2 linked regions of the Oryzias latipes genome follow. The protein of the gene in region 1 interacts with the protein of each later gene in a pairwise test. Links are inferred from orthologs where the notes say so. Each region holds a gene or a part of one and is shown in the gene's direction. Other genes may lie near its edges.

The links.
Region 2: the proteins of pum2 (region 1) and dazl interact in a two-hybrid assay, tested with the Homo sapiens proteins (2 studies listed by BioGRID and IntAct). The link is inferred for Oryzias latipes from reciprocal best matches to the Homo sapiens genes PUM2 and DAZL.

The regions. Positions count from the first base shown.
Region 1 is NC_019882.2:6,547,463-6,551,854, reverse strand, and holds the start of pum2 (pumilio homolog 2), read left to right. Parts: upstream 1-1,523; 5' UTR 1,524-1,651; intron 1,652-3,239; 5' UTR 3,240-3,252; coding exon 3,253-3,585; intron 3,586-4,392. Other genes in the region: rho-related GTP-binding protein RhoB, read right to left, coding at 260-853. UniProt on the Homo sapiens protein: Sequence-specific RNA-binding protein that acts as a post-transcriptional repressor by binding the 3'-UTR of mRNA targets.
Region 2 is NC_019869.2:11,023,504-11,027,861, forward strand, and holds the start of dazl (deleted in azoospermia-like), read left to right. Parts: upstream 1-1,527; 5' UTR 1,528-1,672; coding exon 1,673-1,675; intron 1,676-4,358. UniProt on the Homo sapiens protein: RNA-binding protein, which is essential for gametogenesis in both males and females. Plays a central role during spermatogenesis.

The DNA.
Region 1 (4,392 bases):
GTCCACATGGGAAGTGGGTCAGGTTTCTCTTCACCCCCACCAGCCAGACTGTGATCATGTGACTCACAAAGAACAAAAAACAAAAAATACAAACATTTGTTGATATTCATGCGTGCTCGGGGGGGAAATGAGGGAATACAGTCTGCTTGTATTCAGTCAGTGTGTGGCTCAATCAAGGGCGTATGACTCCAGCAGGGGAGTGCCCAAACCATCAGGCCCACGCGTGTCCAGACGCCTCAGCGGATGGATAGCAGATGATTCACATTAAAACGCAGCATTTAAAACAACCATCTCCGGGTGTTCTCCGCTTTTGCAAGGCCGCTCGCGTTGCCGTTTCAAAAACCTCCCAGATCCCCTCTTTGGTTTTGGCAGAGCACTCCAAATAGTCATAGGCGCCGATACGCGCCGCCATGGCGCGTCCGTCCTCCGCCTTCACGGGCTCCAGCTTCAAGCGAGACAGCTCGTTCTTGGTGTTTTCGTCGTTGCGCAGGTCCTTCTTGTTGCCCACCAGAATAATCGGCACGTTCGGGCAAAAGTGTTTCACCTCGGGGACCCACTTTTCCGGGATGTTTTGCAGCGAGTCGGGGCTGTCCACGGAGAAACACATGAGGATGACATCAGTGTCCGGGTAGGAGAGCGGGCGCAGGCGGTCGTAGTCTTCCTGTCCGGCCGTGTCCCACAAAGCAAGCTGGACCTGCTTGTTGTTGTCCACCTCAATGTCCGCCACATACGTCTCAAACACAGTCGGAACGTACACTTCGGGGAACTCGTCCCTGCTAAACACAATGAGCAGACACGTTTTCCCGCATGCGCCATCCCCGACCACCACCAGCTTCTTCCGTATGTCTGCCATTCCTGCCTTTTCCTAGGAGGTCCCCCTCAGGCGAATCATCCAAAGATACTGACGCGGTCTTCTTCTTTGTCTTCTGGTGCTGCTGACCCTGTTTTTGTGGGCAAAATCTAACCAGTTAAACCAGACACTTAATTAAAAAAAAACTCCCAACCATCTACAGGCCAGTGGGTGGTTTTATAAAGCCTGTGCGCTTTCCTAAATATAGCAATCCAATCGGAAATGGGGAGGTGAGATCACACTTTGGGAGATGAAAGATGATTGGCTCCTATGGAGTAAGGGGCGTGTCCAAAAACAAGAAGAACCATACCGGCTTCTAAAATCACCAAAATCTGTTAAATAAAGCGGAATCACGGATTTTTTTTTAATCTTCATGTATAGCTTTTTTTAAATATTATTTTTATGTTAGCTAATTTATATACATTAGCCTCAAATTTGTAGAATAAACCTGTAAATAGAAATCAGATACACAGATGATAAAGTTTTCAGATAAGTACAAATAGGTCGATTTTTGTTTTTGTTTTTTTGTTTCGGAGTTGTTTGTTTTTGAATTTTTTCAACCCGTCAGGAGCTGATATGCGTTTGAAGAGTACATGATACACATGATACAGGAAAGATAGATTTACATTAGCTTTGTTAGACGTGTGTGTCCACGTAGTTCGCTCTATTTACAGGGAGGGGGCACCAGCGAAGGCACAGCGCTTAGCTGAAGCTAAATCACCGCACTCAAGGAAACAAAACAATATAGAATAGGGTTGACGGTGTGCAGCGAGCACAGATCCTCTCTCGATACAAAAAGGCGTGAGTATTTTCCCCCCTTTTGTGCTCATAATACAAACACGGGCGCTACGAGACGACCGCCTTGAAGCAGTTACCGCAAGATTAATATTTTCTCTTTTGTTTAGCGGTAAAGGCCCCTCTATTTGGAACTTGAGGGGGGCCATGTTGTTTAGCCGCTGAGTGTTTGGCTGATGCTTTAGCTCTCAAAACAGCAATTAGCTTCTATTTTAGCTGACATGGGTTGCTTGAACTGTTGAACATATTTGAATGTGATTGACAGAGTCAGGAAAAAGTAAGAAATGATTACAAGCCATTTTGCAAACTAAATCATTTAAAATCTCCACTACTTTGCTGGTTAGGATTGTTTAATTCCCAAACTGAATTTGACGTCTGGTTGTAACAAACCAAAAACAAACACAACAGGCCCGCTTTCCTTAGCATTAGCCGGTTAGCCATGGATGTTGCGAAGGCGAGCTTCTAAATGATGTCTTTTGGCGTGAACATGTTTTGTTTAATTAGTGTGATTATTCAAAGCTAATTTAACACACCCGTGACAACTGCCACTGAGTCTGTAACAATAATCTTTATTTTTCGTTTTAAAAAATTGCTAATTGCTGCTAACTTAGCTTGCTCATTAGCACCGGACTTGCTAGCAAGCTTAGCAAAGCGGTTTGTTCTTTGATTTGTCTCAACACTAAACGCTTAATTTTTGCCGTTTAAATTAATTTTCAAAATTATACAACAATGATCGTTTATAGTTTTTGCCTTGACCAAAATAACAATTTTGTAAGAGAAAACATTTATGTTATCGTGGTTAAAATTACCCATAAATCTTTACCATCGTGATTTTTAGGCTTGCATATGTTTATTAATATTGTATGCTAATGCTGCACCAACAAGTTTATTCGTGACCACACTATAACTACGGAGTTATTTTACTGACAAATTTGAATGCTATAAGCCAGCAATCGAAATAAAACTAATTCAAAAAGCAGAAATGACTGTTGGGTAATTAAGCTGCTTAAGAAGAAGTGATTACGTGGAAAATACTTATAATTCTGAGTGAATCCTTTTATTAGAACCACCTTGTAGGCTTTCCATGATAAAGCAGAACTTATATTTTAAGCAACAAATAGTTTTGATGTTTTCTTATGAACCTAGAAGTTCGATTTTATTTTGATTTAAAAACTAACCTTTCAGCTAAAAACATCATGAAACAGGCTCTTAACGTCAATATAACTTTGGCAGAACACATTTTAATAAATAAAACTCGTTAACGACCGAGTCCGGTGTAAATTTTGTTTTTTACATGCTCCTGTGTCATTTCTCTGGTGATGCAGGACATCAAGCTAGCAGGACAGAGTGTAAACAGAGGGATGGTGGGAAGTGGGGGCAGGCTTACTCCACGCCACTATTCCCTTCCACAACTAGGAGGCACATTTCTGATGAACTTGCGCAGCTCTGCATAAACTATGTCCTAGAAAATGACACAGGTTTACTGATTTTTGGCTAAAAACAACATAAGCATAGCTAATAGATTTTGGGTGATATTTAGGCATGTCGATGTGTTCATATTAATGTAGCATTTCTTCATGCTTTGTCTGTGTAGGTTTTCCCGTGGAATGAGCGTTCCATGCAGCATCCTAGGTATGAATGACGTGGGCTGGCAGGAGACGAGGGGTGGGGTGCTGCACGCAAATGGCGCTCCTGAGACCGGGGGCATTAGGGTTCATGCTGGAGGTCCCCTAACCACAGTTGGGGGTGCTGGGCACCTACAAGGCATGGACAGGAATCCCAACCTTACTCCGGGTACACCCCAACCTCCGCTGAGCGGGAGATCTCAGGATGATGCCACAGTCGGGTACTTCTTTCAGAGACAGCCCGGAGAGCAGCTTGTTGGTTGCACAATCAGTAAACATCGCTGGCCTACTGGAGATTCTAACCATGTTGATCAGGTATAAGCCTTAATTACAAACTGCTGCACTACTATGTAGTTTGATGTGAAGTAGGGTTGTGCCGATGGACGATATCATCGTCCATTGTGATGGGTGACTGACATCCCGATGGAGAGACCACCATCGTGATGCCACGCCCCCGCCACGTTGCGCGTCGACATCATAAGCCGCGGTTACATGTACAAAATATCTTGATGGGATCAATGGTCGGATTAGTATCCAACCGTGTACATGGGCCCAGAAAAATGTTTTCAGAATATAAAAACGTTCACTAAGGTCACAATTTCGGTCGGAATAAATCATTCGCACACGCGCAGTATTCGCACATGCGCAGTTTGAAAACCGGAAGAGGATACAACTTCCGCCGAGCGGCTTTTTTTCCAAACTTTATTGAATATAACAATTCAATACAAAACGATAACAGCGGCGAGCAGCTATATACATTGACATGTCAGCTCGGTAAAATACGAGACGATCTTCTAAACGTGCTTTTAATAATGTTACGGTTATTATGAAACACCTGTTCGCTCATCATTTGAATTTTAATCCGTGTGGTCAGTGCTTTTTCTGAACGTAGCCAGGATTAGCAGTATGTTAACACAGGCTAACAACATTAGCTTTGGGTGGCGCTGCATGCTGTGAATAACATCAGCCTTTATTTAGTCGGGACACGACTGGAAACACAAATCCACGTGATTGTTTGAATGTTTTCTAAGGACTGAGCGACATTTCTGCTTTGAAGCTCAAACCGCTGTGTGTGCTGACGATCCGAGCTGTGCTCAGACACACGTTTAGACCCGGTTCTGA
Region 2 (4,358 bases), on another chromosome or scaffold:
TGTGCAATAGTCTTACTCCTCAAAACTCCTAGTCATTAGTTCATCGTATAAGTCATTAACTGCAAAATGGTTGACTAAGTTGTCATAATGTGACAAAAATATTTCGCTGCATTGCAAGAGAGGATATTCGCTGTGATGTGGATGAGAATTTGTGGCCTAACATACAGGAACGACAAGAGGTGTAGGAAGACCACACCAATTCCTACTGCACTGCCTGTACTGTTGTACAGAATATTGTCCTATCTTTTTTTTCCCTTTGTGTTACTGTTTGCAGTGGGTTTTTTCTATGTTGGTATGACATGGTCTGTCAACAAATTACAATATGAACGATAAAAGTGTTAATGTGAATCTTGTCCAGTCTCTTGCAATCAAACATAAAAGGTGTAACTTACATTTTACAATAATTGTCATTGTCATCCAAACTTTAGCCATAGTTTACATCAGAACCTCCCTCTAAAGTACACAGTTATACTGACAACATGACTAAGTAATTCGACTGTCTTGTTCGTAGACAATGACACAAGGACTTGACATTCTGATGGCACTGACATGTTCAATGACATAAAGACTTAGTTTTCAGAGATGAACTAAAGATTTTGAGCACGTTACAGGCTTTTGCAAGAAATCCATAGTGTTTTGCTGTTTGTACAAATTGTTTTGAGAAATGCACACACGTATTTGCAAACTTCAATTCTGATCTGAGAATTGTACCAAAGCGACTGAGAAAAACTGGAAAAAGGACCATGGTAAAGCATTGCAATCATTTAGGGTACAGACAGCCTTCATATTAAAGGAACTTCAAAGATTACAGGGCTTATGCTGCCTGTGATGCAGTGCATCCATCTTTTGTTTTCAGGCTTTGGTGGTTTACAATTGCTTACAAAAAATAACAAAGTTACTCTAGAAGCTCTGGTGATGAATTAGGCAGAAAAATGAGAGGTTGTTGCATTGAAAAGCATATCGTAATAGAATATTAGTGTGTTTGAATGATGGAACAATTGAGCAAAACTGATCAGAATTGACATCCATACATATTGTGTGTCCTTCTGTGCTTTTCAGTGAGTATTTATTTAACTTTTGTTTCTTACACTAACCATTTAACGTTTTCAATTACAAAAAAATTGACAAAATCTGAAAGAAATACACATATTGGTCAGCAAACAACATCTTTAATTAATCCAGCACACAAATAAACATGTGGGCTAGTTGCATCATGTTAATTTAAAAATAAATAAATAATTGTCAAAACACAAAAAAACTTTCATGTTTTTTCCAAACAAATAAGCTTATGAAAATAATTTAACAACTCATAAATGTTTTGTCACACCACATAAGATGATTGAATTTTCCTGTTTGCTAAAAAATAAAAATAAAAAAAGTACTTTGAAATGCCTCCGTGTAAAAAAAGTTAATATTAATAAAAGCAAATTAAAACTGATAAATATACTAATTAATTAGGAGTTGCCTTTCTTCTGGAATAAATTACATTTTAAAAGAAGAGTGCGTCCTCCCGGTCCTCCCTGGTTGACCATGCAGTGGATCTGTCTCGGCGGAGTGGGGTCACGCCGGACGTGATGGGCGTGGTTTCGGATCATTCTCGATTGCTGAGCAGAGCCTTGAAGATCCGCGGCTTGGGTTTCTGGCCAAATTCTTGGTTTTAATCATTTTAGAAATGGTAAGTTTTTCTGTTATTTTATGTGCGTGTACGAGATGTTTATTTACTGAGAATGTTGTTGCGTTAATTTGCGTTTTGTGTCAAGTAATTGGTGCGATCGCGCTTAGCTTGAGGTGAACTAGCGGGAAGACTCGATGAAAATGGCGCCGAGTATGATAGAGGCCAACGTCGGTTCAACTTCAGCCGGATCACTTCTACAGCTAAAATATCAACCGATTTCTCAAGGACTTTCAGTGTTTTCGTGTTTACAGCGTTTGGACTAAAGTAAAGTTTTAAGTAAATCGTGGAATTTTTTCACGGGGTCTATTATAGTTGGCTACTTAACGTAATGTCGCTAAAACTTTTAAGCTAACATTCACGTGTCTGCTTGCCTTGCTTTAGCAAATACATACGGAATCGTATTACGGGGGATTTTTGTTTCGTTTCTGATATTTTTAAGAACTAAAACAGGCTGGGAACTAACCTCATCTGCTCCTGAAATAAAACGATAAGATGACCTCTAAGTTGAAAACTCATGTGTCCGTGTCACAGACTTGATCCGTTTTGTTTACACTAGTGGCGGCCACGTGCACGTTGGGTCTGCTGGCAGCAGGGGATTGTGGGATGCGATCCCCTGGTCAAAATAGGGCTGAGCATGGCATGGGTGTTTTTTTTTTTTTTTTTTGCCCACGTTTCTTTTCATATGGCTGTTTTGTTGTTCCACCCTTAGTTAATTCTTCCTGTTATGTTTGTTTCTTTTTGTTGCACTATGAGTGTGGAAGGGGGAGAGGGTGATGACCCATGTGCAATGTTCAGTGTTGTGAGTCCAAAATAAATGGGCTTGAAGCCTCGTCCTCTCTGAGACTGTTCGGAGTGGGGTGGTGTATGAGAGACGGACAGCTCTCCAGCGCAGCCACTTGAATGACAGCTCGGCTTTCATTTACCCCGCTATGAGTGACTTATTAGCGGGGTCGTTACAATAGCACCATTCTGATTTGTTCTTACTTACTGTGTTAACCTCAAACATTACAGAGAGACCCCCCACCACCACCACCACACACAAACGCGCTGTGACAATATATTGAGGAAGTATCTATAAAAAAATGTGTAAATATACCTAAAATAGTATCTTTTAACATTAACAAATAAAAAAAAGGAATGTAAATCCACTTTCAACAAATATTAACTTTATTTAGCCACACAGAAGCCCTGTTCTAGTCTTAAACAGAAAAGAAGCTTAAAGTGCCTGAAATAAAAATTCGTTATTTAAACTAGAAACATTTTGACCAACTGACCCATTTGATGCTGAGAAAAATAATTCAATCAATAAATAATATTAAATGTAAATTGTTCTGAAACATTAACACAGCAGCACCAATACATTTAACGTTTTTAGTCTGAAGAAATAAGTCAAAAAAACATTGTGCTGATTTTTCCTTTTTCTAAATGATGATTGTTTATTTATCATCTCAAAAAGTGCAGCAGTTTACTTCACTACCTGCTTTATTTCTGTCAAATACTGACACCAACTAAACGACAGGCAGACAAAGAATACATTTATGGAAAACAAAGACACGTCATCAAAATGTCTTCAATACTTAATAAAAAATGACATTATTAGTATGAGCTAAGTCATCTAAAGCAGTGTTTTTCAACCAGTGTGCCGCGGCACACTAGTGTGCCGTGGGAGATGGTCAAGTGTGCCGTGGAAAATTGCCCTCATTAACTGATCTAAAAACATTTCCCATCTCCAGGATTTCAGCTCTGTGTTCATCCAAACAGGCCCTGATAAAACACTGAGGAGTTAGGAATATAAAAGATCGTAAAATACTTTTTCTTTGCGTTTATTTTATTTTATTAAAGACATTTTGATAAGAATGACCGTACCGCGATTCAGCTGCAGCTCCGGCTGTATTTGGGAAAAGTCCCGTCCCTTTGACTGTCTCCACCAATCATTCTTGAGGGGCTTAATCACATGTCATCAGTCTGACCAATCAGAAGTGGTTAAAGTCTTCACTTCCTTGTCCCGATTTAGCTCGTAAAGTCGCTCAGTTCTAACAAAAATACCAGCTAAAGCTCGTCTTTAGCGCTGTAGCTTTCCACAGAATCCGGTATCAGACCGTGGAACAAGTGAACAAAACAATGAAGCTCCGAAAACCGATCTCCGGCCGTTTTATGCACTACATCTCCCATGATGCATTGGGTTGTGAGAGTGACAGGGCACAAGGAGATCTGTCGTTAGACGTCTTGAAACCAACGAACACACATCAAACTATTTTTAAATCTTCTAACTTAACTTTTATTGAATCTTTTAGAAAAAAACAGCTGCAGTTTCCAGCTTTTTCTGCAACAATTATCTCCAAAATGCATGTGAGATTGTGGAGGGGCTGTAGATCAATACAGACTATGAGTTTATCCTTTTTTTTTTTAATTTTTGGATGCTGGTGTGCCGCGGGATTTTTTTTTAAGGTTAAAGTGTGCCGTGGCTCAGAAAAGGTTGAAAAACACTGATCTAAAGGCACGCCATGATCCTGGTATTGGGCAACAGGCAGCGCTTGCAGCTCTCTTCGTGCCCCGTTTCACCTGGCAACCTGAGCCCACACTACCCCTCCCCTTTCGTTCTCACACACGTGTGACAGGAGAGCAGCTGCACGGACGGGGATTCACAGGTTTCAGGCTGTCATAAACTCTGCGATTTAACAGA